Linked DNA regions of Pelodiscus sinensis. The protein of the gene in region 2 binds, or shares a complex with, the protein of the main gene of each other region. Links are inferred from orthologs where the notes say so. Each region holds a gene or a part of one and is shown on either strand. Other genes may lie near its edges.

Region 1 (7,615 bases), on a different chromosome or scaffold from region 2:
GGACTTACTATATAATGCTGCTTTGGAGATTTCAGCCCCATTTAATTAAAGGGATTATTTAAACAAGGGATTTTGCTGCTGCTTTTTGCCAGAAGGCCCTTGCTGACATAAATGCCTTTTTTTTTTTTTTTTTTAAAAGTGCTCTGCCCGTAATACTAGTTACACCTTTGATTACAGAAAGAACATTTTCAGTCTCTGATTTACTTTTACTATTACAGGCAGTCCCCGGGTTACATGGATCTGACTTACATCGGATCCCTACTTACAAACGGGGTGAGGCAACCCCGCACTAGCTGCTTCCCTCCAGCAGACCAGGGAGACACGGAGCGGCTTTTCTCAGCAGACACCTTAGCTTGAGAATAAAGGACTGAGGGAAGTGAGGTGTGGGGGAATAAAATTGAGCTCTGGAGAAATGTTTGGCTAGAGTTTCCCCTACAATATGTACCAGTTCCGACTTACATACAAATTCAACTTAAGAACAAACCTACAGTCCCTGTCTTGTACGTAACCCGGGGACTGCCTGTACTATGGTCTGTTTATTATGGTTAGTTTCTAATCACTTAACATCACTCCCGCAAAGTAAGGATGTTAAGTATCGACTAATTAACTAATCGAATAGTCAATGCATTTTGCATCGATTATTTGATTAGTCAATAGGGCGCCTCCGCCTTTGAAGTATAGCAACAGCCCTAAGGGCTGTTGCTACATTTCAAAAGCAAAAGCACTGTGTGGAGCCCAGGCAGATCGCGGGCTCCCCCCGCACTGCCGCAGTGAAATGCCACAAGAAGCCCAACACCAGGCTTCCTGTGGCATTTTAAAGCAGCAGCGCCTTACAGAGCCCAGAGTCAGCAGCGCCTTACAGACCCCAAGCTCCATGTGGTGCTGCCACTTTGAAGTACCTCCTCTTTTCCCTCCGCCCTTGCTGCCTCTATCTGATAGAGGCGGCAAATGGGGGGGAAGTGACTGGTTGACTATCCTGTTGACTATCCGATAAGTGTTTACTTATTGGATAGCTGACTAGTCCTTCACATACCTAGCGCAGAGACCCAAAAATGGAACTCAGGAGTCCTGACTGCAAATTTCCTGCTTAAACTTGAGACCACACTCCATCCCAGAGCTGGAAATAGAACCCAGGAGTCCTGCCCAGGAGACTGCACTCCTGCTCTGGAAGACTATGCTTTCAAGCTTCTACTGCAGCTAAGAACATAAATAAAACAGCCTATAAATGGAATTGCTGTCAACTCCCCAGTTATCCCCTAAATTAGGTTATAATCTGGTTATACTGAGAGTTTTGCCAGCAGTTTTCATATGGGTCCCTCCCTTAGCCCCACAGGGCTATGTCAGAAACAGGGGTTAGCCAGCTGTTGTGTAGAGAACACTGCCCATCATACTGACTGTGGTTGTCTCATTGTTTTCTTGTGCTCCCCCATCTGTATCCACTTGGCACCTCCTGTCATCTACTCAAATTGGAAGCTCTTTGGGGCCAAAACCACCATTTTTTTCATGGGCCATACAGCACCCAGCACACAGGGGGGTATCCCTAATCCATGACTAGTGGGTGCTGCCAAATACAGAACCAGCGGGAGCCATCCAGCACCATGACCAGCTGCTCTGTCCTCACCTTGTAGGCTTTGGTGACCACCCTGCGTTTCCTCTTGGGCTCATCATCATCCTGGTCGCTGGCCGGCTCATCACCCTCATCGATGTCGAAGTCGGAGTCCACTTCGTCGTCGCTGTCCGACTGGTCGCCTTTGTACTCATCATCGCCCGACTCCTGCCCAGGAGATGGGGGGGGGGGGGGAGGAAACAACAGTCAGAAGTGAGTTGCCCCCACTCGCCCAAGCATGTTACCCTCCCATGGGCCCCTCTGCTCCCCACCCACACTGCCCCCACCCCAGCCAGTCCCCAACTCAACCTCCACAAGGGACTGATGCCCCCCCACCGACCCCCAGGGACACCCCACAGCCCCCGTATACCCCCTACAATCCCCCCACCACCCCCCAGGGACACCTCACAGCCCCCCCGTATCCCCCCTACAATCCCTCCACAGCCTCCCACCCCCCCCAGGGACACCTCACAGCCCCCCCGTATCCCCCCTACAATCCCTCCACAGCCCCCCACCCCCCCCAGGGACACCTCACAGCCCCCCCGTATCCCCCCTACAATCCCTCCACAGCCCCCCACCCCCCCCAGGGACACCTCACAGCCCCCCCGTATCCCCCCTACAATCCCTCCACAGCCTCCCACCCCCCCCAGGGACACCTCACAGCCCCCCCGTATCCCCCCTACAATCCCTCCACAGCCCCCCACCCCCCCCAGGGACACCTCACAGCCCCCCCGTATCCCCCCTACAATCCCTCCACAGCCCCCCACCCCCCCCCAGGGACACCTCACAGCCCCCCCGTATCCCCCCTACAATCCCTCCACAGCCCCCCACTCCCCCCAGGGACACCTCACAGCCCCCCTCGTATCCCCCCTACAATCCCTCCACAGCCCCCCACCGCCCCCCAGGGACACCCCACAGCCCCCCTCGTATCCCCCCTACAATCCCTCCACAGCCCCCCACCGCCCCCCAGGGACACCCCACAGCCCCCCTCGTATCCCCCCTACAATCCCTCCACAGCCCCCCACCGCCCCCCAGGGACACCCCACAGCCCCCCCGTATCCCCCCTACAATCCCTCCACAGCCTCCCACCCCCCCCAGGGACACCTCACAGCCCCCCTCGTATCCCCCCTACAATCCCCCCACCGCCCCCCAGGGACACCTCACAGCCCCCCCGTATCCCCCCTACAATCCCTCCATAGCCCCCCCACCTCCGTGAAGCCCCCGTAGGTGGTCTGGTAGAACTCATCCTCCTCCGCCTCCAGCAGCCCCGCGAGCCGGTTCCCCGCCGTGCGCCGCGGCGCCCTGCCCCCCGCCAGGCTCATCCCCCAGCCGCCGGGCCCCGCGAGCGATTGCTCAGGCCTGGCCCAGGCCAGAGCGAGCGCACCGCCGAGCGAATCCAGCCCACGGAGCGCCGAGAGATCGAGGCGGGGAGGCGCGGCCAGTGGAGAACCATGGAGCACCGAGCGATCGATGGAAGCCAGGCTGCCCAGGTAGAACCCCACTGGGCCAGCTGGGGACAGAAGCAGAGACAGGGACAGCTCCTCTACTGCACGTTCCAGAGAGCCTGTCTGTGTGTCTGTCAGCCCCCCAGCTGGGGGACATGAACCCCTCCCCTAGCTGTGCCCGCTGGAGCTGTAGTGGCCATGGACAGATGCTTCTCACTTGGCCCCAAGCTGCTGCGGTGACAGAGGGCTGGAGTGGTCCTCTCTCCCCAGGGCAGCCTGAATACCGAACCCCACGCCCCTTTGCAGAACAATGATTTAAATGAAAAAAAAAAAACTTTTTTGACTTGAGCAATGCCGGGTTCGTCTTCTAGTAATACAAAAAAAATCATCCATTACTGGCCATCTGGATTTTGATGCTAAAGGTGTTGTTATTTTCAATTTTCCCTGCAGCCATGAAGCCTCCTGGTTTGAGCTGGGAGGCTGACAGACTTGTTGGGCTCCTGGGCAAGGCTGGGCAGCTCCATGCTCCCAGAAGGGGCGGAGCCTCAGACAGGAGGGGGCGGGATTGGGAAGCCCTCAGCACCACCTGGAGCAGGGATGAGTAAAAGGGCCTTCGCAGGCCAGATCTGGCCCACCAAGTGCGTTGATCTGGCCTTGCCTCTCCCCCACCCCCCAGGCCAATCAGAGCCTAGGGATGGGGGAGCGCACAGCACGGTGAACCCTGGCAGTTGACTCTAAGCACCATGCGCTAGAAGGCAGGGAATGAGCAACTTTGTGTGCTCCCCCCCCCCCCCCCCGCCACCCCCAGACCAATCAGGGCCTGGGAGCAGGGGAAAGCACGGGAAGTCTCTTCCCATCCTGCCAGGAGTGTACGGCACTTCTAAGCGCTGCATGTTCCTTGCAGAACAAGGGCAGGGCGGGAGGAGACTTTGCATGTTCCCCCCATCCCCAGGCAAATCAGGGCTTGGGGATGGGGGAAGCGCACAAAATCTCCTCCTGCCCTGCAAGGAGCTCAGTACTTAAAGTCAACCACCAGCTGCTGTTCTGCTGGCGGTTGACTCTAAGGCTACGTCTACACTGGCACCCTTTTCCAGAAATGCTTAAAACGGAAGGCTACGTCTAGACTGGCCCCTTCTCCGGAAGAGGCATGCAAAGCAGGCAAGTCAGAATAGGGAAATCCGCAGGGGATTTAAATATCCCCCGCGGGATTTAAATAAACATGGCCGCCGCTTTTTTTCCAGCTTGGGGAAAAGAGCGTCTAGACTGGCGCAATCCTCCGGAATAAAGCCCTTTTCCGGAGGATCTCTTATTCCTTTTCCGGAGGATCGCGCCAGTCTAGACGCTCTTTTCCCCAAGCCGGAAAAAAAGCAGTGGCCATGTTTATTTAAATCCCGCGGGGGATATTTAAATCCCCCGTGGATTTCCCTATTCTGACTTGCCTGCTTTGCATGCCTCTTCCGGAGAAGGGGCCAGTCTAGACGTAGCCGAAGAGTTTTCCGTTATAAGTATTTCCAGAAGAAGCGCGTCTACATTGGCAGGATGCTTTTCCGGAATAAGTGGCCCAGTGTAGACAAGGCCTAAGGGTGGTACTCCCTTGCAGGTCTGGGGCAGGAAGCAAGAAACTTTGCGTGCTCCCCCTCCCCCAAGGCCTGATTGACTTGGGAAGCAGAGGGGAAGCACGTGAAGTCTCCTCCAACCATTGGGGAACGGGTGCCTAGAGAGAACTGCCAGCTGTTCAGAAGAGCTGGCAATTCTCTCTGCAGGGGTGAGAGACAAAGACTTTGCGTGCTCCCCTGTCTCCAGACCAATCAGAGTCTGTGGGTGGAGAAGCACTGAAGTGTCATGGCCCTGCCCTTTCTGCCTGAGGTCCCGCCCCTTCCAGCAGCCTGGGGCCACTTCAAACATTTCTGAAGTAGCCCCCAGTCAAAAATTATTGCCCACCCCGGCCTCGAGTGTGCCATGCTGCCCTCTCTCCCAAACCTCAGAGCCACCTGGAGCACGCCATGCAGTGCTCCCATAGTGATTTACAGGGCCCAGGCTCCCACCACTTCTACTCCACTCCCTCTGAATTGCCAGATCCCTTTGTCTCCCCATCAATGGGCCTGTGTGTGGACAAAAAAAATACTGTAAGCATCTAACACAGTGGGGGTTTGTCCACAAAAGCTTATGCCCAAACAAATATGTCACAGGACTCCTCGTTATAATTCCACCACAGCACAATGGGTTTGTGGCCTCCAATGGGAAATACATCTGCCCATTGGTCTTATCCCAGTGTAAGACACAAAGATCCATAGGCCAGATTCAGTATGCCCAATCCTATTGAAGTCAACAGCAATTGCATTCACTAACAGCAAGAGATTAATTTGGTCCACAAAGAAAAATAAACCAAATCTTGACTCTCACTAGCACTGTCTCTGCAGCGGAAGTTTTTTGAACACTTTCCACGAAGCATGCCTTTGTTATGGGGTGTTCATTTCTGATTTCTCAACATGATTAACTCATCTTGGTTATAAATCTAGATTGATAATATACCCGGAAGAAACTTACAAAACTCAGCTAATAATGCATGATGAACTAATTATCTCTTGATCGGCTTTGTTGCTAAAATATGTTCTGTGATTCTGAATTTGGAACTTTCAGGTTTTTTCACACCATAGGACACAGGTGCCAGCTTCCTCCTTTCCCCAGGAGTGCTCAACCCCAGACTCAACCTCCACTGTATCCCTTCACCAGGCCCCACCCTCACCCTGCCTCTTCCTTTCCATGTTGGGCCCCTGCCTTGCCTCTTCCTGGCCAGTTCTACCCCTTCTCCTGAGTGCTCCTTTCCAGCTCTTCTTGCACACTGCAAAGCAGCTGATTGTAAAGGCCAGGTGCTGGAAGGGAGGGGAGGGAATTGATCCTTAAGTCCCTCTGGCTGGTGAGATGTTCTGGGGAGGGGAAAACGAAGGTGCCTGCCTCTGAAGGAGGAGGGATAGCTCAGTGGTTTGAGCCTTGGCCTGTTAAACCCAGGGTTGTGAGCGCAATCCTTAAGGGGGCCATTTAGGGATCTGGGGCAAATCTGTCAGGGATGTTACTTGGTCCTGCTGTGAGGGCAAGGGACTGGACTCAATGACCTCTCAATGTCCCTTCCAGCTCTATTAGATGGTATATCACCATATATTATTATTATAAGTGCTCATTGTCGACCTAACTTACATCTTCATGCAGCCACTGCAGCTATTGAATTGCTTGTGTGCATGCACGCTTGGCTCCTTGTGTTGGTGGATACTACCAGGAGCTCTAGTATCCATTGTATTGCCAGTGTGGGGCACTGTGAGACAGCTCCTGACAGGCACGAACAGTTGACATAAGTATCTCAGTGTCTACACTGACGCTGGGTCAGCCCTAATTTCATTGACCATGACTCTACGCCGCTTGGGGAGATGTATTACTAATTTGGCATAGAGAGGCACATAAACACCAGTCGGAGCCAAATGTAAATGAAGTCACTTCCACAGCCAGATCACCACAAGGCAGCTAACATTGACCTGTGTACTGCAGACCAGGCCTAAATGTAGGAAATCTAACTTGACTCACTTGGGTTTTAGTTTCAGGTTTGCTGGGACCAATAGCTCCTCCTCGTATAAGTGGTAAGAAATAATGTTTGGAGATTGTATGATAACACTCATTCCATTACCTATCTGATCTCACATCCTTCTGCTCTTTGCTGCCCTTTAAGATTTCCTCTCTCTCTGGCTTGATTGATGGTTACCCTGCATTGGAACAATATAATTTAAAACCCGCTTTGCATTAATGTAAATAACAACGCAACACTCAAGACAATAAGGAACCAGGCTGAGAATCCAAACGGTGCATGTGCATTGCTGTTTGCTTGTGCTGCGTTGTCTGTCTGAAATTGCTTTTGCTTTCTGAGATTCATTACAGTGTTGTCTAAAGGTTCGAGCGCAAACATGGGAATGAAGTTAATGTTCATGCATATTTTTTTAAGTCAATGTGAACTTTGCCCGAGTACAGACTGCAAGGCGACAGGCTTAATTATTGTGAGACAAAAGAGGCCAGCTCCTTCCCTGATAAAACTCCATTGATTTCAAGGAAGTTACATCACAGATAAATTCAGCCCAGGATATGTGCAGACCAGATGTAGGGGCATTGTCACTGACCAACGGGTAACGGCTTTCAAAGCCAAAGGTACTTAGGGGCCTACCTCAAATGGGAATTAGGCACCTACACACCTTTGAGGATCTGGATCTTAGTTACCAGGATTATTCTGTGTTATTTTAACAGCTGTCAATTATTTTTCTTTAGCGTATAAGGACTGTTTTTTGTGTATTATTGTTAAAGGATGTGTTGGGGGGAGGTTACTCAGTGAATGCCTTAAGCAAAATAAAATGTAACTAATTACAGCATCTAGAATAAGGCCACCCAGTAACTCCCAGAATCATTCTGCCACATGGGATGGAGTGCTTGTCAGGTAATCTATTTTTAATATTGATTCTTGTAATAGCAAATCTTGCTGGACCTATTTTGGGGCTTTGGTGGATACACATGTGGGTGTAAGAGCTGA
Region 2 (7,502 bases):
CCGCGGAGCGCCCGGCCAGCTCACAGCCCAGACGCGTCCGGGCTGTCAGCTGATCGCACGCTCCGCGGCTTGGCTCTGCTTTGCCCCCTCCCCCTGTCCTCCTGGTCTGCAGACCAGGGGGACGGGGGGGGGGGGGGGGGGGCAAAGCAGAGCCAAGCCTCGGAGCGCGTGGGCAGCGGACAGCCCTGTCCGCTGCCCACGTGTTCCGCCGCTTTGCTTCCTCTCCCTGGTCTGCTGGAGACCAGGGAGAGGAACGCCCCGTTCGTAACTGCGTAACTCGGGGACTGCCTGTACAAGCAGTTTTTAAGTGAGGTGAAACATGGGGGTACACAAGACCAATCAGACTCCTGAAACGGGAACAATAGTCAGGAAAGGTTAGGGGCACTGTTCAAAAATACACACACAAAAACTGAACGGGTTATACTGCAACTGTTTTAAAATCAAAACAACTTTCCTTCTAGCAACTTATTAAAAATGTAAAGCTTTAGCATAATTGTGTCCGCTGTTGCACTGTGAGGAACAATTGCACTGTTGCACAGTAGGAAATGCAAACAATTTAGCAACAATCCAAATGTAATTTCTGATTCACTGGAATTCCAAAACTGACCGGCAAGTTTTGGACAGTGGTTTTACTTAAGTAACACGTCAAATGAGTAGCTGAAAAGCTATAGAAATACACTTTTGTCTTCAGTATCTGCATTTGACATTTTATAGTCAGTTTTCCCTGTCTGTTTGTGGCCTCCATTTCACAGACCTTTTGCACAGCAACTGTTAACAATTCAGCAACTGTTGAGCACTGTCAACAGGCTTAACTGTCAGTTGACTGTGCTCAGCACCTTGCAGAATCAGGCTGAATTTTAGGGACTAAGGGGGAAAAAATCAAAGTGCAAGGAATGCGAACCCTTAAACATTTTAACCAATGGTCCTCCAACTAGTCATTTATTTTTATAAACCAGAAACTAAGGAAATATTGCTTCCCCACTCCAATCCTGTTTCACAGTATAAAGTTATTCATATACCTAAGAGTTTTCAGGACCCAAGTCTAAATTGCTGGTTCCTTTGTATGTTAACTTCCAGTTGGGAAACTTGTCTTTCCTATGGTTTCCAGTTGTCCCTGTGACAACTTGTTCAAAAAAAGCTAGTTAAAATAGAATTACAAAGCTGCTGTTTTATAGACTGAGTGCCCTTTTCCCTACTACTTGTATGGTAAATTTAGTACAGATTAATTTTTCTTTCAGATTGGTTACCTAATATTATTAAAAATGAAGTATAATTGTGTTATTTACCTTGTATAAAAAAAACAAACTTTGAGACCCCAACACTAAAAATATCAAATCACTAAGTCCTGGTCTACACTAAGGAGTAATTTCAAAATAACCCCCATTATTTCGAAATAAGCGGAGCATCCATATTACCAAGCCTGTTATTTCGAAATCTTTACTCCTGCTTTCCTCAGGGAATAATGCTTATTTTGAAACAGTTATTTGGAAACAGTATTTGTGCGGACACCTCAGTGCTGCGATTTCAAAATAGCTACTCCCCATAGTAATTTGAAGTAGTTACTCCCCAGGGTATCCTGGGACTCTAAGTCAAAGGAGCACATCCACAATAATGGAGCCTGCGTTGTACTAATTTTGAGGCTTCCCCATAGTGTGGGCATACTATTTTGATTTTGCTCTTTCAGGTGTTATTGTGCTGAATTTAGTTATTTCGAAATAATTTCCTAGAGTAGATTTGCCCTAAACTGACTCTCAAGCTTTAAATGACAACTTCTCTTTAAAAGGAATGCAACTTTTAAAGAGGCACTACCAATTTATAAATATCCCCACATGTACATTTTGCAAGACTAAAGTTTTATGAAGACTACCATCACCAACTAAAATGGCTAATCAATTTAAAAAAGTCTACTATAAATAGCATCTCTTTAAAACCAAGAAGTTCCATACAGTACTTGGAAATCCATCTACAAACCTGAAAGTGAAACTATCTTCAAAGTTCCATTGCTCAAGCTGCGAGAAATGCCAAAAGCAAACCAAACCATGGAGTTACACACTGGATTTATAAAAATCCAAAATTGTAAATAGTAAAAGTAAAGAGATTGCAACATTTGAAAACGCCGTGTTTCATTAAACCCTCAGAGCAAACGCCTTAATTGCAAAAAGATAATACTACAATAAAAAAAGTATTCCCTCTCTTGTCTCCCCCACCAGTCAATGGGAATCACAGCAGGTCTGAATTGTTCAGTTAAAAACAAAAACCCATTGCCATTGCTATTGTTTCTGGTTGTCAGGAGAGCCTGCAGAGACAAAAAGGCAGCCTGCAGAGAGATGAAATCTAACACAATCTTCTTAGGGGAAAAGGGAGCACAACAAAAGGTAACCCGTCTGATGAGGGTACTGTCCTCTCCCACATCACCCGTTTCTTTCCCGGTGATGACAGATATTGCAATGTATTTCAGCGAGACATTTAAAGTCTCTCTCGTAACACTGCGGAACACTCCCCTGCTCTGTGCTCATTCACTGTCCCAGCATGAGTACCTCCAGGTAATTATACTAATTGCATATCAACTGGATGCTACTCTGCATTTACTGCAACCTACTCTGCTCGCAGAAGAGTCTGCTATGCAGATTGAAGTTGCACGAATCAAACTCCTAGCGAGAGCTCTCCCAGGAACTCAGAGAAGCCTGCAAATCACCGCAGAAGGAATCGCAACAAAAGAGAGCAGCGAAGCAGCCCCGGGATCAGAGCTGCAGCCCTCCCTCCCCGCAGGCACACACGAGGAGGGGCGGAGAATCCGGAGAGGAAGACAGCAAACTAGCCGAAAGCCCCGGAGCTCGTAACTGCTGCTGTGCCCCCAGCCCCCAGCGCTTTCTCCGGGCACCCTCGCGCCGCGGCTCCGGCTCCCTCACCTCCCGCGTGCCCACGGACGGAAGAGGATGGGGGATAGAAATGCTGCAGCCGCGCTTCCCCTCTACTTTGCCCCCTCCCCGCCTCCAGCAGAGACAGAGACTCATGAAACAACAGAAGCTGGAGGGTGCTCCTGGCTGCTCCCCTCCCACACAAACGCTGCGGCCAGCACAGCTGCTCGGCTCCCTCCCCCAAACACAAGCTCAGTTCCCCCCCTCCCAGGTCCCACTCTGCAGGCTGCCCCCCATGCCCGCACTGCCCCTGCATTCCCTCCCCACGGAGTGACCCCCCCGGGGGCTCCCCCTCACAAGCACAGCCCCCCACGCTGCGTTACCTCCCCCAACACAATCCACTCCCCCCCCAGGTAAGCCAGGCGAACCCACCGCAGAGGCGGCCGCTGCCTCGTCTCCCCCCGGGGCTGCGCTACTCACCAGGTCCTTTGTGTTTTCCATCAGGCCCTCATGGGCAGGGGATGCCTGCTGCTCTCCCCCCCCTTCCCTCGGCTCAGCCCCCTCCCTCGCTCCCCCCTCCCCTCCGAGGGGCCGGGCCCGGCTGGGGCAGGAGGTGGCCTGGAAAGTTCAGCCTCTCACTTAGGCAGAGAAAGAAATTCAACTCCCTGCCCAGAATATCAACAACATTAGCATAACCGCAGGGCGCAGGCGCAGCGCCCATCCCGCCGCGCGCTCTCATTGGGCCCCCAGGTCTTCGGATCCTCCTGGCTCGCCGTATTCCGTAGGGTGAAACTATTTTGTAAAAGGGGGGGCTGGTGGGAGAGTGCTCGAAGCGGCGTGTCAAAAACAGACTGGTAGTTGGCGTGTTCGCTGCTTCTGAGCCCCGTGTTACCGTTTGTGAGCCGCGCTCCTGGAAGATTAGGCCCTATAAGTGGGACTGGTCCCTTCCGCGTGAGCAATGGAATGGTCCGGCCTGGGAACCTATCACGTGGGAAGCGGGGGGAGGAGGGAAATGGATCACGTGAGACTGTCTTGCCTGAAGGGGGCGCTGACTGAATCACGTGAAAGAGGCGTGATGGGGGCAGAGAGCCTATCACAGGGTGGGAGGTAGCTACTAGGTCACGGAGGGCGGGACTTGTTTGTTTCTACTTCCGGTTCACTAGTGACGCTTCCGCTGTGGGCACGGTAGGCTCTGAGGTGGGTGTGGAGATGGAGCCGGCAGCTGCTCGTGGGAGCCCCGCGCGGAAGCGCGTTCGAGCGGAGAGGAAGCGGCGGCAGTCGCCGCGGGCGGGAGACTCCGGCGATGGGGGCGAGGAGGCCCGACGTGCCCGGCACCTGACGATGTTGTCCGGGAAGCCGGAGGTGGAGCGGTGCCTGGAGGAGCTGGTGTTCGGCGGCAGCCAGGAGGCCGAGGAGGAGGAGACGCTGCAGCGGTTGCGGGCCCGGGGCAAGAAGGTGAGGCGGGGGGAGGGGATAAGTAAAGATCGGAAAGACGGGGGTTGGCGGATGTAGAAAGGGCCCCACTGAGGCACCCCTCCCCGTAAGCCTCACTTCTTCCTGCGTCTGGGTGCGCTTTCCCCGCACGGGGAGTGAGCATGCGGCGCTCCCTGTCCGCAGCACGGGTTCAAATAGCCGTGTAGCTGGTGCGGTAATGCTTAGGCGAGTAAAGTCACCCCCGAACCCTGTGAGCATGTGGCCACTTGGTGCTTTCCTCCCCTGCCATTCGTAGTGGTGTAGTGTCATGCTGCCTCGTCCCGCAAGAGCCATCCACTTCCATGTGCAGTTAGTCATACTGTAGACACAGTTGAGTTTTTGCTGCAGCACAAATCTACACCATTTGTACTGTGTGCTGCAGTCAATGTAGGCAAAGCCTCCCCTTTCAACTGCTCTCTGTTGGGAAGGGGAATAGGCCCCTGACTAAAGTCTTACTTACATTTATATGTCTTATTTATATGGTTAGAGTTATATGTGTAAAATCTTACTTAAATGTATATGTGGCTTATTTTTCTGGGCAGTTTTAAATATGAAGCATAAAACTGCTTTGGGTTGCTTGTAGCAATAGCCACTACATTTGTAGGTAGTGAACTAATGATGTTAAATTTAGATTAATCAGCTAATGGAATAGTTGATGTAATTTGCATCGACTATTCAATTAGTCGAGAAGGGCACTTTCACCTGCTGGCTTTTGCTACATTTTAAATGTGCAAGCACCACAGGGCCAGCGGGGCATGACACATCTGATGGGGAGGTGGGGGAGGAAGCAACTAGTCGAATACATCCCTATACTGAATGTGGGTTCGCAGGCAGAATCAATTTCAGATCTAGTGGGACTTTTGGCATTAAGAGTGAAAGACCTAGGAATACAGCTGGAACTTACTGAAAATCTTGCTTAAAGGTGCATCTTATTACATGTAGACTAGTCTGTCAGTAGCAATAGATAGGTGGCTTTTTTAACAGATGTGTCTTTTTAGTATAAATAAATTGTTCTCTAAACTATGACCTTTCCTGAGAAATAGTGGGTATGGACTATGGGAGGGGAGATAACTGCTTGTCTGATTCTTGTGGTTGGGGTGGGCATTTGGAGGAGGGGAGCATTAGGAACTGCACTCTGTATCCCTCCTGGCTCTACACCCAGCATGCGGAGATGGGAAAAGCAGTGGTTTTACTACGATTCTTTTATTTTTCCCCTATGGAAAAATGTCTTTTAAACTTTCTCTGTTTAAAGTTGTAAATATTAAATTTGTCCAGTGTTTGACCATATGGTATGGGTTTTTTCTTTAAGCTTGATACTGTCACAGGAAATCTTCTAAAAGAGGACATCAGTGACTCAGAAGTGGAGAATGAAGCAAAAGATAATTTTCCTGCATCTAAAAAACCTGCCTGGGTGGATGATGATGATGAAGTTGAGGAAATGTGAGTTAAGCTCATAATGTTATGATGTGACTGGAAATAAGGGGAAATAGAGGTATTGACTTCAAGAATTGGAAGAAATACTGAGTGTGTTGTTCTAAATGGCTGCTTTTTGAAGTCTTCAAGAAAATAAGGATTGCTACTATGCTTTTTGCAGTTTTAGCATTGAGAATATGGCTTTGTTTCCTAGAGTTGACATGACACATCGTTATCGCAAAGGCATGATGAAAAGTGATGCAGAGAAGAAGCTTACCAAAGAGAAACTTAATCAGAGACTTCAAGAACAGTAAGAATTGTTAATGGATTATGTTAGCAAACTTTGCTGTTAATTTTAGTAACATAAGATATGTTATGTTCAAGTAAGATTTGCTCTTTTTTTTTTCTTCTCCTTTTTCACCAAGGGACTTGGGTGAATAACTTAAATTCCTTAAAGCTAGTCTGCTTAACAGCATCGACCATGTTGTGAGGACTTAACAAATAACTAGTATAATGAAAAAAACCCTACATTCTTAGCATGTGATTGTATTGCTTGTCATTGAAGCTTTCAGCTGCTCTGTGGTATGGAGAGGAGACTATTGAAAGCTTTATTGTCATTGGAGCACAGTCTTGTTTCTGTTTCCTTACCATTATATGACATAGGAGAGAAGTTAACATACAAATTAGACTTCATAAAATCCGTTAAGCAACAAAATAAGTAGCTTCATCAATCAAATGCATCCAACCCCGTGGGAGTGAGGCAGGCTGTTGCAGCCCAGGTTGGCTGGAGCAGCCTCCTCACTCCCCTTTTAATTGGTTAACCAGTTAAACATTACATTTAAACAGTTAACCATTTAAACAGAATTTTACATATAGCATAATATTTATATGCCCTAATTATTGCATGTGTGTATTTAAGCATCCTTTTTATTAGGGATTTAAAAATGCACCCATGTAACTGCCAAAAATTATAGTGGTTATATGTGCTGTGGGCTCTGCAGAGGTGTGCAAGGAGCTGCTTTAGCCCCTACCAGTTAAACGGAACTGGTAAGCCTTACCTCTTAAGGGCAAAGCTTACCAGTTAACCTTTTACAGCACTATTTCTTATATATGTGAACTTTGCCATCTAGGCATGTATGAGTATAACATTTTATATATGTATGTCATTTAGTTCAGATTTTCTGTGCTGAATCAGTTCATGGAAGCTAGAGTAGAAAAGATCTATTTAAAAACAGCAAAAGAAGTCTGGCTGCTGCATCTGAGTGAGATGGTGTAATTGTTAGGAGGCACTGTTTTAATGTCTACCTATTAGTGAGAGAAAAGTTGCAGAAAAATCAGTTTTTGGCAGTATGATACACAAATCATTAGAAAAGAATGGGGCTATGAAAATTGTCCTTTCTTTTAGATTTCAGAGAGCTATGGGAGGCGTGCCTTTCTGGGCCCAGAAACACAAGAAGAAAGCCAGAAAAAATGCAAATGATGGTAAATATATTTAAATACATTAGAAAGGCATTCGCTTTTCCAACATGATCCTTTATTTTGTGTGACCTTTTAGAAAGTCATTTGTTGCCTGGCACGTTTCCTGCTTTAACTTTTACTGTGTACTGTATACCTGCTGCTTTATGCCTTCTCTGGCCATGTCTACGCTATGCCGAAGTTCAACTTTGCCACAGTTGATCTTCTGGGGTTCAATTTAGTGGGTCTAGTATAGAACTCAGAGGGTGTCCTGATCAGCTCCAGTATGTCGTCTCCTCTCGA
Region 3 (7,171 bases), on a different chromosome or scaffold from region 2:
GGGTACATCAATACAACTAAAATTTGGAGAAAACTTGATTTTTTGTTTTAAGTTTTACAGCCCTTTATTGTTTTTGTACTTTATACACTGAAAAATGTCATCACCCGCCCGGCTACGATTAAGTTGTTTAAAAAATGTGTTGGAATGGTAGAAAAAAATTGTGTCTGAAAACTGTAGGTACTGAGAGTCCTTTTTTTTAAGGGGGTACTTAATTTTTTTAAAGGGGTATTTTATTAAAAAAAAGGCTGAGAAACACTGCTGTAGATTACTAGATCCAATGGTTATCTTCTGAGGAAGTGGGTCTGGCCCACAAAAGCTCATCACCTAATAAACCATCTCGTTAGTCTTTAAAGTGCTACATAGTCCTGTCTTTTGTTTCAACTAGACCAGACTAATATGGCTGCATCTCTATCACTATTCTAATGACCCTGATTGATCTATGTAACAGGACAAGCTATGAAAGAAGTCATTGACCGGTCTACTGACAGTTGTACTGATGTAACTATGTTGGGTGGGGATGTGATTTATTTTTAAATGTTAACTGTTATACTAGTGCAAACTGTGGATGCAGTTATTCCCCTTCCTGTAGAAATAGCTATATAGAGATTCAGAGGGGTAGCTGAGCTAGTCTTTAACACGAAAAACTTAAAAAACAACAAATAGTCTAGTAGCACCTTAAAGACTAACAAAACATGTAGATGGTATCATGAGCGTTTGTGGGCAAAATTCACTTCAGTATAACAAGTCCTCCGGTCATCTGAAGAAGTGGGTTTTGCCCACGAAAACTCATGATACCATCGACATGTTTTGTTAGTCTTTAAGGTGCTATCGGACTATTTGTTGTTTTTTAAGTTTATATGAAGATTGTTCATCTTTACAATCACAATTGCATCCACACTAGAGGGGTGTACTGATTTTATCGCTTCAGTACTAGGCAATTTACTTGGCGTTGCCCGGGTCCTTACCTCAATTAATTTTTGTTTTTTTGGAAAATAAAATTGAAATGTGTGTGCTTCATTTAAATCATCGCTCTGGCATGGGGCTGGGGACGAGGGGTTCAGTACGCAGATGGCCCAAGGAGAGCGAGGAATATCCTAGCCCTTTCTCACTGCAGCTGCTTGGAGCTGGGTAAGAAGCACCTCCCCATGGCCACTGCAGCTCCAGTGAATAGAGCTGGGAGAGGGGTGCAGGTCTTCCCCCTGGGGCAGGTCCAGGTTCATCTGCCCCCTGTACTCTCCAGCCAGAGTGAGGAATATAGCAAACTGTGCACTTTCCTCTGGTTATCTGACAAATGGAAATGACCAGCAATGTCCCTGTATAAAAGAGGTAGGGGTGGAGAGCTTCGCCCCCTCACCCACTCTACCTGAAGGGCACCTGGGAGATGGAAGACTTGGGGCTGAGGCAGACCTGCTGGGTGGGGAGGTGGAAGGGGTGCAAGTCCCCCCATCCAGCCCCTTTCACCTTCCTGGTGATTGTCTCTCTTCTGTATGGTTTTATGAGAAGCAATCCCATTCCAGGCACATCCCATTTTTCTGGCACAAGAGGAAGCTGTATACCAAATTTGGTGGTCCTAGCTCTTACCTTTTAGGAGGACTTCTTGAACAAACAGACAAACTCTCTCAAATATATAGTAGATTAGAAGACTTACCCAGTGTTGCCCAAGTCCTTCAGGGCAGGAGGCCTGAGGTCTGCAGAATATAGGAAGGTCGCCAGGGACTCTCCCTCCCCTGTGGCGAGGTGGCCTGCCAGGGGCTCCCTCCTCCCGGGGCTTGCCCTTCCCCCTCTCCCTTCCTGGGGCAAAAAGGGGCTGGCAGGGACTGTCTTCTGTGCATGGGGGCCCCATTTACCCCGTTGGGTGGTAGGCAAGATGGTGACCCCTTTTCTCACTGGCCGCTCTCAAGGTGATACAGCTGCCCAGTTTCTCTGTACTATTGATCCTCTGTGCTCCCTGCCTTCCGTGAGTATAGCATCTCTCCAAACAGCCCTTCCCTTTCTGGAAAAGTCCTATTCTCTATAATTCTCATTTTCCTGGCACAACCAAACTCTGACCTTGCTTTAAGTTAGGAAAAGAGGAAGCTGCCTACCAAATTTGATGGCCTTAGCTCTTACCATTTAGGACTTCTTGAACAAACAGACTCACAGACAGATGCATACAGTATTTCTAAAATATATACACAGCTAACACAGTGCAACTTTTCAGTGCAGACAGGGCCTTATTGGCACTCCTGTGTGTCACATAGTTTAATTCTTATGCTAATGGTCTAAACAGGGATCCTGGATGGCTCTCAAACTATCTTCCACCTTTTAATAACTTAACCAACCAACGGAGGTGCTAATGGTTCTTAACTGACTCCTGTAACTACTTGAACTATCTACTCACCATCTACATGTTTTGCTAATCTTTGAAGTGCTACTAGAATAATTGTTGTTTAAGTTTTATCTACTCATATCTCTCTTTTTCTTCCTCCCCTGCCCTTTTTCTCTCCCCCCTGCCCTCCCACCTTCCCTTTTCTTATTTATCCTTGGATCTGGACTCATTATACTCCAGTCATCTGAAGAAGTGGGTTTTGCCATGAAAGCTCATGATACCATCTACATGTTTTGTTTGTTTTTAAAGTGCTACTAGACTATTTGTTGTTTTTTAAGTTTTTACATACTTTATTAGCTGGTGTCAGTAACTTGAATCTTCAGCAAAAATGGAGCAAATGAAAAATGGATGTAGCTTTAGTATTTCTAAATCTTCAGGAAAGCAAGTGGTATTGCATAGAAGTCAGAGAAGAAGGTTCATGTTTCATATGCAGCAGGAGCAGAGCCATTACAAGCTACAGTATGTTTCAAGGGAACAATGAAGGACATTACACACTTCTAAATAAACTTATTTTAAAAACTCAAGAACATTCTGATCTCTCCAAGAATGTTCCTTAGGAGGTACGTTTTCTTTACAAGAAACTTACTGCCAGGAAGAAAAAGCTGATCATTTTGCCAAACAAAATCATGTGAGTTTGCATAGTTAGTAGCCAGGGCTAATTAAAAACAAGCTTATTTGGAGTACACCTGATAAGATTACTGGAAGGTCAGGAGATGAACCTGACTCCAGAGAACAGTGAGTATTGACTTGGCTAATAACAATAGCTTCCTCTAGGAAAATATTAAACAGTGAAAATACGGAAGGGTGTCCAATTCAAAATAAAAACTAAGGGCTTGTTCAGAGGTGAATGGGATATTGGGGGGGACTGAGGATGGGGTCTTAGTGCTTCTCTGGGAAAAGGTTGGATGAGGGCACCAGAGGCTGCCTGAGGGGAGGGCTCTGTGTGCAGTGTGGATAGGATGGGTGGCTCTGAGTGGGGGTGCTATGTGTACATGGTAGATGAGGTGCAGAATGAATGGGTGTCCTAGTGGTGGAGGGGCTCTGGGTAGATGGACATGAGGGTAGGGATGATGTGGATGGCGTGTGTGGGGGATGCTGAATAGGATGCCAAAAGGGACTCTGCAGGGTAGATGGGGAGGGCGGTGAGGGGGTCCCTGGGCTGCAAGGGAGGGTCCCCGGGCGGTGGGGGGGATAGTGGCGGGGGGCCCCTGGGCAGTGAGGGGGGGGCTCGGCGGTGACTGGGGGTCCCCGGGCGGTGAGGGGGGGCTCGGTGGTGAGGGGGTCCCCGGGCGGTGAGGGGGGGTCCCTCGGGCTGTGAGGGGGTCCCTGGGTGGTGGGGGGGATAGTGGCGGGGGGCCCCTGGGCGGTGAGGGGGGGCTCGGCGGTGAGGGGGTCCCCAGGCTGTGAGGGGGGGCTCGGCGGTGAGGGGGTCCCCGGGCGGTGAGGGGGGGGGTCCCTCGGGCTGTGAGGGGGTCCCCGGGCGGTGAGGGGGGGGTCCCTCGGGCGGTGAGGGGGTCCCCGGGCTGTGAGCGGGGGCTCGGCGGTGGGGGGGGTCCCTTGGGCTGTGCGGGGGGGTCCCTCGGGCGGTGAGGGGGGGTCCCCGGGCTGTGAGGGGGGGTCCCTCGGGCGGTGGGGGGGGGTCCCTCGGGCGGTGAGGGGGTCCCCGGGCTGTGAGGGGGGGTCCCTCGGGCGGTGAGGGGGGGTCCCTCGGGCGGTGGGGGGGATAGTGGCGGGGGGCCCCTGGGCGGTGGGGGGGCTCGGCGGTGAGGGGGTCCCCGGGCGGTGCCGGGCGCGGGGGGTCCCGAGGCGGGCGGGTCTCAGCGCTGCCCCCGGCGGACCCGGCCGGCAGCGCACGCGGCTCCCGCCCCCTCCCGGCCGCTCCCGCCCGCCGCAGCCATCATGGCGGCGCTGCACACCAAGGCCGGGGGCCCCCCCCAGATCCCCGACACCCGCCGCGAGCTGGCCGAGCTGGTGAAGCGCAAGCAGGAGCTGGCGGTGAGGGGCGGGGAGCGCGGCCCGACCCCCCCCCCCGGCCCGTCCGCCCGGGCCGCGACAGGCCGCGCCCGGGAGCCGGCTAGGCCGCGACTCCCCCCCCCCGCCCTGCGCAGCCTCGGGTCCCACCCCCTGGGGGCACCGGCCCTGGGGGGCAGAGAGGATGGGGGGCTGGGGAATGGGGGGTACTAGCTCTGGGAGGGAGAGGGTGGGGGCTGGGGAATGGGGGGTACTAGCTCTGGGAGGGAGAGAGGATGGGGGCTGGGGAATGGGGGGTACTAGCTCTGGGAGGGAGAGGATGGGGGCTGGAGAATGGGGGGTACTAGCTCTGGGAGGAGAGAGGATGGGGGGCTGGGGAATGGGGGGTACTAGCTCTGGGAGGGAGAGGATGGGGGCTGGGGAATGGGGGGGTACTAGCTCTGGGAGGGAGAGGATGGGGGCTGGTGAATGGGGGGGTACTAGCTCTGGGAGGGAGAGGATGGGGGCTGGGGAATGGGGGGTACTAGCTCTGGGAGGGAGAGAGGATGGGGGGCTGGGGAATGGGGGGTACTAGCTCTGGGAGGGAGACGATGGGGGGCTGGGGAATGGGGGGTACTGGCTCTGGGAGGAGAGGGGCTGGGGAATGGGGGGTACTAGCTCTGGGAGGGAGAGGATGGGGGGCTGGGGAATGGGGGGTACTAGCTCTGGGAGGGAGAGGATGGGGGCTGGGGAATGGGGGGTACTAGCTCTAGGAGGGAGAGGATGGGGGCTGGAGAATGGGGGGTACTAGCTCTGGGAGGGAGAGGATGGGGGGCTGGGGAATGGGGGGTACTAGCTCTGGGAGGGAGAGGATGGGGGGCTGGGGAATGGGGGGTACTAGCTCTGGGAGGGAGAGGATGGGGGCTGGGGAATGGGGGGTACTAGCTCTGGGAGGGAGAGGATGGGGGCCTGGGGAATGGGGGGGTACTAGCTCTAGGAGGGAGAGGATGGGGAATGGGGGGTACTAGCTCTGTGAGGGAGAGGATGGGGGCTGGGGAATGGGGGGTACTAGCTCTGGGAGGGAGAGGATGGGGGGCTGGGGAATGGGGGGTACTAGCTCTAGGAGGGAGAGGATGGGGGGCTGGGGAATGGGGGGTACTAGCTCTGGGAGGGAGAGGATGGGGGGCTGGGGAATGGGGGGGTACTAGCTCTGGGAGGGAGAGGGTGGGGGCTGGGGAATGGGGGGTACTAGCTCTGGGAGGGAGAGAGGATGGGGGCTGGGGAATGGGGGGTACTAGCTCTGGGAGGGAGAGGATGGGGGCTGGAGAATGGGGGGTACTAGCTCTGGGAGGAGAGAGGATGGGGGGCTGGGGAATGGGGGGTACTAGCTCTGGGAGGGAGAGGATGGGGGCTGGGGAATGGGGGGGTACTAGCTCTGGGAGGGAGAGGATGGGGGCTGGTGAATGGGGGGGTACTAGCTCTGGGAGGGAGAGGATGGGGGCTGGGGAATGGGGGGTACTAGCTCTGGGAGGGAGAGAGGATGGGGGGCTGGGGAATGGGGGGTACTAGCTCTGGGAGGGAGACGATGGGGGGCTGGGGAATGGGGGGTACTGGCTCTGGGAGGAGAGGGGCTGGGGAATGGGGGGTACTAGCTCTGGGAGGGAGAGGATGGGGGGCTGGGGAATGGGGGGTACTAGCTCTGGGAGGGAGAGGATGGGGGCTGGGGAATGGGGGGTACTAGCTCTAGGAGGGAGAGGATGGGGGCTGGAGAATGGGGGGTACTAGCTCTGGGAGGGAGAGGATGGGGGGCTGGGGAATGGGGGGTACTAGCTCTGGGAGGGAGAGGATGGGGGGCTGGGGAATGGGGGGTACTAGCTCTGGGAGGGAGAGGATGGGGGCTGGGGAATGGGGGGTACTAGCTCTGGGAGGGAGAGGATGGGGGCCTGGGGAATGGGGGGGTACTAGCTCTAGGAGGGAGAGGATGGGGAATGGGGGGTACTAGCTCTGTGAGGGAGAGGATGGGGGCTGGGGAATGGGGGGTACTAGCTCTGGGAGGGAGAGGATGGGGGGCTGGGGAATGGGGGGTACTAGCTCTAGGAGGGAGAGGATGGGGGGCTGGGGAATGGGGGGTACTAGCTCTGGGAGGGAGAGGATGGGGGGCTGGGGAATGGGGGGGTACTAGCTCTGGGAGGGAGAGGATGGGGGCTGGGAATGGGGGGGTACTAGCTCTGGGAGGGAGAGGATGGGGGCTGGGAATGGGGGGGTACTAGCTCTGGGAGGGAGAGGATGGGGGCTGGGGAATGGGGGGTACTAGCTCTGGGAGGGAGAGAGGATGGGGGGCTGGGGAATGGGGGGTACTAGCTCTGGGAGGGAGAGGATGGGGGGCTGGGGAATGGGGGGTACTGGCTCTGGGAGGAGAGGGGCTGGGGAATGGGGGGTACTAGCTCTGGGAGGGAGAGGATGGGGGGCTGGGGAATGGGGGTACTAGCTCTGGGAGGAGAGAGGATGGGGGGCTGGGGAATGGGGGGGTACTAGCTCTGGGAGGAGAGAGGATGGGGGGCTGGGGAATGGGGGGTACTAGCTCTGGGAGGGAGAGGATGGGGGGCTGGGGAATGGGGGGTACTAGCTCTGGGAGGAGAGAGGATGGGGGCTGGGGAATGGGGGGTACTAGCTCTGGGAGGAGAGAGGATGGGGGGCTGGGGAATGGGGGGGTACTAGCTCTGGTAGGAGAGAGGATGGGGGCTGGGGAATGGGGGGTCCTAGCTCTGGGAGGAGAGAGGATGGGGGGCTGGGGAATGGGGGGTACTAGCTCTGGGAGGGAGAGAGGATGGGGGGCTGGAGAATGGGGAGTAC
Region 4 (7,603 bases), on a different chromosome or scaffold from region 2:
ACAGCCTTAATAGCATAAAGAAACCATGTGTACTCTGGGTTTCCATAAAATGTTGGAGTTCTTGCACTTTCTCAGTCCACCATTTATTCTTGAGTTCTCTGGTCTTACATTGGACTTCTGCCCTCACCTTAGCATGGGCTTCTCTCTTTGTCTTGCAATTTATATCATTCTACCAAGCATAAAATGTCATTCTCTTCTCATTAATGAGCTGCTCAATTTCAACATCATTTTCATCAAACCAGTCCTGATGATGTCTGGTGTGGTAGCCAATGGTTTCTTCACAAGTATTGATGATTACTGCTTTCAGCAGTAACTGATAAACAGCGCTAAAAGATTTCCACTCAAACTTTTATTATAGAGATCCTTGTCCCTTCCTTTGATACAAGTCACTAGATAGAATCAGGATGAAGTACTGGCTGGACCACTGGTCCTGCACTGGTATGGTAATTCTTATGCTGCTGACAAATCAACCCCATTTACAACTCTCTACCCATCACCCATCAAACTCCATTTACAATGCAAGCTGTTTGGGGGCAGAGATCATCTTTTCATTCTGTTAGTACAGTGCCTAGTATAATGGGGTCCTGGTACATGACTAGGGTTCCTAAATTCTCTGGAAATACTACTACTAAAACAGCCAAACCCTGTCCTTATTGGACTGAGATGAAACATGAAAACTTCATTCCGAAATGGCATTTTTTTAGTAAATGATGAAAGACTAGAGGAATTCAACCACAAGTCTAATTACCTCTGAGAGGGCCATGGTTTCCTATATTTTGGACTAGGGGTGTTAGATACCATGTATTTCAGTAACTGTACAGTTGGAACAGTTTTAAGCAGTTATATGGTTACTAAAAATAGTCTGGGGCCAGGGCTGGCAGCCAGTGTGCTCCCAGCCCCACTCCCAGGGAATGCCCCCTGCTACCCTATGCTGCTGCCTCTCCACAAGGAAAAATGGCTTAAAAATTGGCACCCTATGCAGACCACCTCCCACTTGCCACCCCACGCTGCTGCCTCTGATACAGAGGCAGCAGGGTGGGGTGGCAGCAGCCCCTTTTTGCAGGGGGTCTGAGCTCCCCATGAACAGAAGCTGCACCAGCATCCCACTTGCCCCCCATATAGAGGCAGCAGCACAGAGGGATGAGGGGGTAGGGGGCTCTGTGGAGTTGGCATACATGCACAAATGGCTTAAAAGCCGGCTTCCTCTGGGCACCGGTTCCTGCCTCACATCCCCTTTGCTGCCTGATAAAGGGGCAGGGGAGGTTGAGTGTAGCTATTTTAGTTAACCCATAAGTCTAGGCTTATGGGTTAATCATTTAAATGGCTATACGTTAATATCCCTATTTTGGCCCTGACCCAGAGTCGAGTGCATTCAATGGAAATATTCTCAAGTCAGTGGGTTTAAGATTAGGCCCACATCATATTTTATATAATAACTGAATATGGACAGTGGCAGCCTCTATTAGTGATTCATGTGATAATATATGGAGTTAGTTGCATAATACACTTGGTACATATGTAACCCACAAACCTTATGGATGTGATGTACTGTCTCATGTAGTGGCACTGATACCACTTACAGCGAGAAGAATGCATTTGCTCTACAGGCTCAACTGAGAACCAGCTAGCTTTTAGCTCAAGCTCTAGAGGCTCATGCACTAAACTCCAGAGGACCCAGGTTCAGTTCCACCCATTGACAATACATATACATTATATTAGTTACATACATATTGTTGACCCATGTGCAGTATTCCTAACTTCAGGGGTTCAGAAATGAAAAGTCAGGCTCCAAAATACAGAGCCAAAATTAGTTTAGTTTCAACACCAAAATACATTTTTATTTGAGGTTTTCTGGGGCCTTTTTAAAGACTTGCTATATTTTCAACCTTTTTTCTGACTGGAATCCTGGGCTGTGTCTAGACTGGCCAGTTTTTCCGGAAAATCAGCCGCTTTTCCAGAAAAACTTGCCAGCTGTCTACACTGGCCGCTTGAATTTCTGCAGAAGCACTGACTTTCTACTGTAAGAAATCAGTGGTTCTTGCGGAAATACTATTCTGCTCCCGTTCGCGCAAAAGTCCCTTTTGTGCAAAACTTTTGTGCAAAAGTGCCAGTGTAGACAGCTCAGATTTGTTTTCCGCAAAAAAGCCCCGATCATGAAAATGGCGATCGGGGCTTTTTTTGCGGAAAAGCACGTCTAGATTGGCACAGACGCTTTTCTGCCAAAAGTGCTTTTGCGGAAAATCGTCCGTGCCAATCTAGACGCTCTGTTCCGAAAATGCTTTTAACTGAAAACTTTTCCGTTAAAAGCATTTCCGGAAAATCATGCCAATCTAGATGCAGCCCTGATGTCTAGTACTATACATTTTAAAATCAGTGATGCTGCTTCCCCTGCATGATACAGAGGATATGCAGTTGGAAGTGGCAAGGAGGATCAGCAGTGCTAGTCTCCCACTGCCTGTTCAGGTTTGGGCCATGACTCTCCAGAAAGGCCTACGGACAAGATGCCAAAACAGAGTGAGTGACATTGCAACCTGGTGCAGTAGGATCACTTGTCACACAAGGGAAGGAGTGCAGGGTCATCGGTGCAGCTTTCCTTCACTGCCACAGAATGTGCTCCTGCTCCAGGCCACCAGCCTTGCAGACCATGTACTCACTGAATGATGGGATGTGACATTTCCAAGATTGCCAATCATCAGTAAATTCATGAACAGTCCATAAAGAAGAGCTAAAATTGGACCTGTTTGTAAAATCCATAAAAAAAATCTAGGTATCACTAAAAAACACTGAGCTTTGGAGCACAGCTGAGGAATCCCTCCCACTTGGTGCCAAGGCAAGCTCTAAGCTAGGGGAGAGATAGATACGTTGAAGGGTAGGGATAGGGTCCAGAGTGACCCAGACAAATTGGAGGATTAGGACAAAAGAAATCTGGTGAGGTTCAACAAGGACAAGTTCAGAGTCCTGTTCTTGGGACAGAAGAATCCCAAGCACTGTTACAGGCTGGGGACTGACTGGGTAAGCAGCAGTTCAGTAGAAAAGACCTGGGGATTACAGTGGACGAGAAGCTGAATATGAGTCAACAGTGTGCCCTTGTAGCCAAAAAGTCTAAGGGCATATTAGGGTGCAGTAGTAGAAACATTGCCAGCAAATGTAGGGAAGTGATTATTCCCCTGTATTCGGCACCGGTGAGGCTGCATCTGGAGTATTATGTCCAATTCTGGGCCACACATTACAGAAAGGATGTGGATACATTGGAGAAAGTCCAGCAAAGGGCAATAAACATTGTTAGGGGGCTGGAGCACATGATTTACAAGGAGAGGCTGAGGGATTTGGGCTTATTTAGTCTACAGAAAAGTGTGTGTGGAGGGGGAGTGGGGGGGGATTTGATAGCAGCCTTCAGCTACTTGAAAGGGGCTCCAAAGAGGCTGGAGTCAGGCTGTTCTCAATAGTGACAGATGACAGAATGAGGAGCAATGGTCTCAAGTTGCAGTGTGGGAGGTCTAGGTTGGATATTAGGAAAATCTATATTACTAGGAGGATGGTGAAGCAGTGGAATGGGTTACATAGGGAGGTGGTGAAATCTCCATCCCTAGAGGCTTTTTAATTACAGCTTGACAAAGCTGGGATGATTTAGTTGGGGTTGATCCTGCTTTGGGCAGGGGGTTGGACTGGATGATATCTTGAGGTCTCTTCCAACCTCCATGATTCTGTGATTCACTGGGCAGCTCCAGGGACTCTACAATTTCCATGGCAGGGGCAGAGAGGGGAATTCTCCTGGTGAAGATGGCTTCAGTCTCTGATGGTTGGAGGATGCTGCCTCCAGTTTTGAACTCTGTTTCGGTATCCTTAAAGTCAGCACAGCAGCAACTTTTGGTGAGTGTGTGTGCAGCACACACTTCTGCCTGGCTCCCTTGGACTGGGAGAGATGAGTACAATGTGCTGGGCATCAATCACCAACTGCCTGCTGGTAAATCACAGGACTGGTGGCAGCCCCCAGTCCCAGCTCCTCCCCCTCTCCCCCCAGTCACTTCATCACACACTGGAGAACTTGGAGGGCTCTGATGTGACTAATAAGTAGGTGCAACTAGCATAATAACTTTGCTGTGTGACCTATGAATTAAAACAAAGAATATTGTTCACTTTGATCCTTTTGAGCCATTTTCATGTTACATAAGAATGTGTCCGAACACAAGCCGGGGGGGGGGGGGGGTCTGTATTTTTTTTTTCTAAACGGTCCATAAAAATCACTTTCAGAAGCTGGCTAGCCTGGATGCCGCCCTTCGGCAGCGGCTGAGCACAGCGCACGGTGCCTTGGCCAGCGCCGGCCCGTGGAGATCGCGCTGGGGCTTGGCAGCACCCCGCCACGCGCTCCACACCCCGCCTGCTTCTGCCTCGTGGATTAGCCCCGCCCCTCAACTCCGGGGCGAGTCCGTCTCTACTGGGAGGAGGGCAGCCGCCGCTGGGCGGTGCATTGTGGGACATGTAGTCCCGGCTCCCGCCTTCACACGGCTACTACGTTTCCCAGGACCTTGCGGGCGGGCGCGAGCCATGGCGTACGTCAGAGGCGCAGGCAGCCAATCGGCGCAGGGCCGGAACGAGCCCCGTCCGCCGCCAATGTTGTTTTCGCCGAGTCGAGGTGCTGGTGTTGTTGGCGGCGGCGCCATATTGGAAGGGACGATCCCCGCGTTAGCGAGAAGCCCCTTCGCGCTGGCCTCGCCGCCGCCATGCTGTACCTGGAGGACTATCTGGAGAGTGAGTGCGCGCGGGGCGGGGGTCCCAGCCGGCCGGGTGGCCGAGCGGGACGGGGGCGGCAGCGAGGGGGCTCCCCCTCCCCCTCCCATGGCGGTGATTGACTGCTCCCTCCCCCTCCCCTCTGTGTCCCCGCAGTGATCGAGCAGCTACCCATGGATCTGCGCGACAGGTTCACCGAGATGCGCGAGATGGACCTACAGGTGCAGAGTACGTGAGTCCCGCCCACCTCCCGCCCACGCGCCCAGCCCGCCGGCGGGGGCGGGCGCGGACCCAGCGCTCTCAGTCAGGCGTTGGCCGGCGGCGGTAGCGCGGCTCGTAGCCGCTGCTCCCGGGCTGAGCGGGCCCGGCACGAGGGGACGCTCCTGCCCAGCGAGCGGTCCGTGCGGGTGCCGGGGGTAGCCGCGGCGCCTCACGCAGCGAGGGGCGGAGCGCGCTGGGCGGAAACGTGCCGAGCTGTTTCCCTTCTGCCACCGGCTGCCTCGTGACCTCGAGCAGCCATGGGCGAGCGGCGCCGGGTGTGTTGACATGACACCGAGCCGAATTCGGGTCTGCAGATGCCCTGCGGCAACGCCAGGGGGAAGGAGTTTCACTGCTGGGGCTTGTGCGGCGCCCCAGGGCAAGTCAAGGTGGCACTTACCAAGCGGTGGGGTGCTGGCTCTCAAGTCCCTGGCAACGGGCTGGAGCTTCACTTGCCCCCTTCTATCAGCCGGAGGCTGTGCACTGTGTCTGAACCATCCCTGCCTAGGCATGCTGGATGAAGGAGTTCCCTACACATCCTTTTCCGGTTGCTGGCACCCTAGCTGTGCTTGTCAGGAATCCAGTCTTCTTGGGTATCTTTGTGGTATTCCTTTTTGCCATCCACTTATGGCTCATTTTCTATTTTTACTTTTGTTTTTGGGAGTCCTGCCTTTTGACTTCCTTTGACCACTTGTTCCTGTAGGGATTCAGTGACAGGATACCACAGAGGATGTCTACCTGGGATTAGGTTTTTGCTTTGATATGATTCTTCACGAAATCTCCGCTCTTTGTGAATCTGAGGTGTTGAAACATCATGCTTTAAATAATTTCTTTGATTTCCATATGTTGTCTTGATTTCTCAGACAGGTAGGAAGGCAACTCAGCAGCATCATACTATATCCTGGAGATGATCTTTAATGGATGAGCAAATTAACAGGTTTGGGCCTACAGTAGTGCCTTGGATCCTCTTGCAGATGTAACCCAATTAACTTAAGTATGGTGGAGAATGCCACCTTGAGGCACAATCCTGAAGACTTTCATCCATCTAGCAATAGATCAATCCATAGGTTTCTGAAATAAAAGCCTTAACCAGTCTTGATCTCTGAACATTGAAATTTCTTGTTGTCCCAGTGGGTCTGGTTCATCAGTCTCACCATCTCTGTTGAAGCATTCTGCACCTGCCCTCTATATCCAAGGACTCCGACGTGTCTCAGCCTTTGTGTACTTTAGGCTTCAGGGCTTGGAGTCATTGATATTGAATTATGACTTAAAAGGTGTTGCTAGTTCTTACAATGTAAGTAGGTGATACCAAGAGAAAACCTGCAGCCCTTTGATTTTTGGCAGCCTCTAACTGAGACCACAAATATATCTCTTTGACTCATGATTTGGTGCTTCTTTGGACGGGGGTGAATCTTTTCACACACAGTATTTTTTTTTTTAACCAAGATTACCCTAATGTCATGGGAGTCAATAGAAAAACTTTTTTCCCAGACCTTTGTAACTCCAGTGTTTCTTGTGCTTCACAAAGTAGTGTAGAGCTTTCCAAAGTAGTGTAGAAATTCCAGGCACTCTTCTTATCTCTTCCAATCCAGCTGTTTGTGATCATGACTGCTGGTTGGACATTACATATGAATCAGAGAACTCTTGGGGTGCAGCAAGACTGTGATCAATGCAAGGATCCCATCTTCCCAAAATTTTTAAAACAGCTGTGTAAGTCAACTGACTTGAGTGGGTGTTGGTTTAGAAACTTAGAAGTGACATCTGGGCCAGGAATCCCTCTCTGTTAGAATTAAAATTACTCTTGCACCATGTTTTAGACCATCTGGGGGACTGGGAACCTCTCATTACTAAATAGTCATAGAAAAAGTATATAACTTCAAGTGATGTGTTGAAAGTTTTTAAGATCAAGTTGTAGATTACCAAGCTTATGTAGCCTAAGGCCAATCTCTGGAAAATGCCTTCACCCTGGTAGAACATTTTGGCAAGAGAAATGCCAAGGTCTTTAGAAAATTGGCTCATAAGGGCTGCTATTCAATGATTAAGAAAAAGTTGTGGGTTGTGTCCTGTACCAGACCTCTTTGAGGACCTAAAAAATAAAGAATGGAAAGGCTGCCCTTCATTCTTTTGGCCCTCCTCCCGCAAAGGAGGGGAGGGAAGACCTTTTTTTCCCAAAAGCTGCCTCTTATTAACCATAGTGGATTTCAAAGGAACTTGGCTGAACAAGCTATTAAACCAGCAAAAAAACCTTGCTTTTAAAAAAATTGTTCTGAAGTATTTAGATATCTGGTCACTATTCCTGTGAGTACCTTTTATTGTCTTGGTGAAAAGGGGAGAATAAGAGCTCTTTGGGCATATTGGTCATATGCCATTGTTCTATGTGCTGTAAGATTAGGTTTTAAAATGGTGTAACAGAGCAGCTGAATTTCTCCCTGACTTCTTGAAAGCCATTTACCCAAAGGACTTAAAAAAGCAAGTGGACATTGTTTGGTATGTACATAGGCTTGCATAGATACCTTGATTTGCCCTGCACAGAAACTAGCTGGCTATGTTTTTCTTCTATTTGAGTTCTATTAAAGGCTTAGTCTGATGTGGTAGCTTTTTCAGCCTGTGATAAATT

Evidence for each region.
Region 1: MBTD1 (region 2) and VPS72 share a complex: the UniProt entries of both Homo sapiens proteins name them as parts of the nuA4 histone acetyltransferase complex. The link is inferred for Pelodiscus sinensis from reciprocal best matches to the Homo sapiens genes MBTD1 and VPS72.
Region 3: MBTD1 (region 2) and MEAF6 share a complex: the UniProt entries of both Homo sapiens proteins name them as parts of the nuA4 histone acetyltransferase complex. The link is inferred for Pelodiscus sinensis from reciprocal best matches to the Homo sapiens genes MBTD1 and MEAF6.
Region 4: MBTD1 (region 2) and ING3 share a complex: the UniProt entries of both Homo sapiens proteins name them as parts of the nuA4 histone acetyltransferase complex. The link is inferred for Pelodiscus sinensis from reciprocal best matches to the Homo sapiens genes MBTD1 and ING3.

What each region holds. Positions count from the first base shown.
Region 1 is NC_134734.1:15,611,904-15,619,518, reverse strand, and holds the start of VPS72 (vacuolar protein sorting-associated protein 72 homolog), read right to left. Parts: upstream 3,020-7,615; 5' UTR 2,929-3,019; coding exon 2,815-2,928; intron 1,775-2,814; coding exon 1,622-1,774; intron 1-1,621. UniProt on the Homo sapiens protein: Deposition-and-exchange histone chaperone specific for H2AZ1, specifically chaperones H2AZ1 and deposits it into nucleosomes.
Region 2 is NC_134730.1:15,381,824-15,389,325, forward strand, and holds the start of MBTD1 (MBT domain-containing protein 1), read right to left. Parts: upstream 3,016-7,502; 5' UTR 3,015-3,015; coding exon 2,910-3,014; intron 2,623-2,909; exon of another isoform or gene 2,600-2,622; intron 2,477-2,599; exon of another isoform or gene 1,972-2,476; intron 1-1,971. Other genes in the region: UTP18 (U3 small nucleolar RNA-associated protein 18 homolog), read left to right, coding at 4,068-4,313, 5,641-5,771, 5,959-6,054, 7,150-7,226. UniProt on the Homo sapiens protein: Chromatin reader component of the NuA4 histone acetyltransferase complex, a multiprotein complex involved in transcriptional activation of select genes principally by acetylation of nucleosomal histones H4 and H2A.
Region 3 is NC_134735.1:9,831,218-9,838,388, reverse strand, and holds the start of MEAF6 (chromatin modification-related protein MEAF6), read left to right. Parts: upstream 1-4,167; 5' UTR 4,168-4,267; coding exon 4,268-4,363; intron 4,364-7,171.
Region 4 is NC_134711.1:42,743,933-42,751,535, reverse strand, and holds the start of ING3 (inhibitor of growth protein 3), read left to right. Parts: upstream 1-4,589; 5' UTR 4,590-4,721; coding exon 4,722-4,749; intron 4,750-4,884; coding exon 4,885-4,956; intron 4,957-4,989; exon of another isoform or gene 4,990-5,274; coding exon of another isoform or gene 5,275-5,365; intron 5,366-7,603. UniProt on the Homo sapiens protein: Component of the NuA4 histone acetyltransferase (HAT) complex which is involved in transcriptional activation of select genes principally by acetylation of nucleosomal histones H4 and H2A.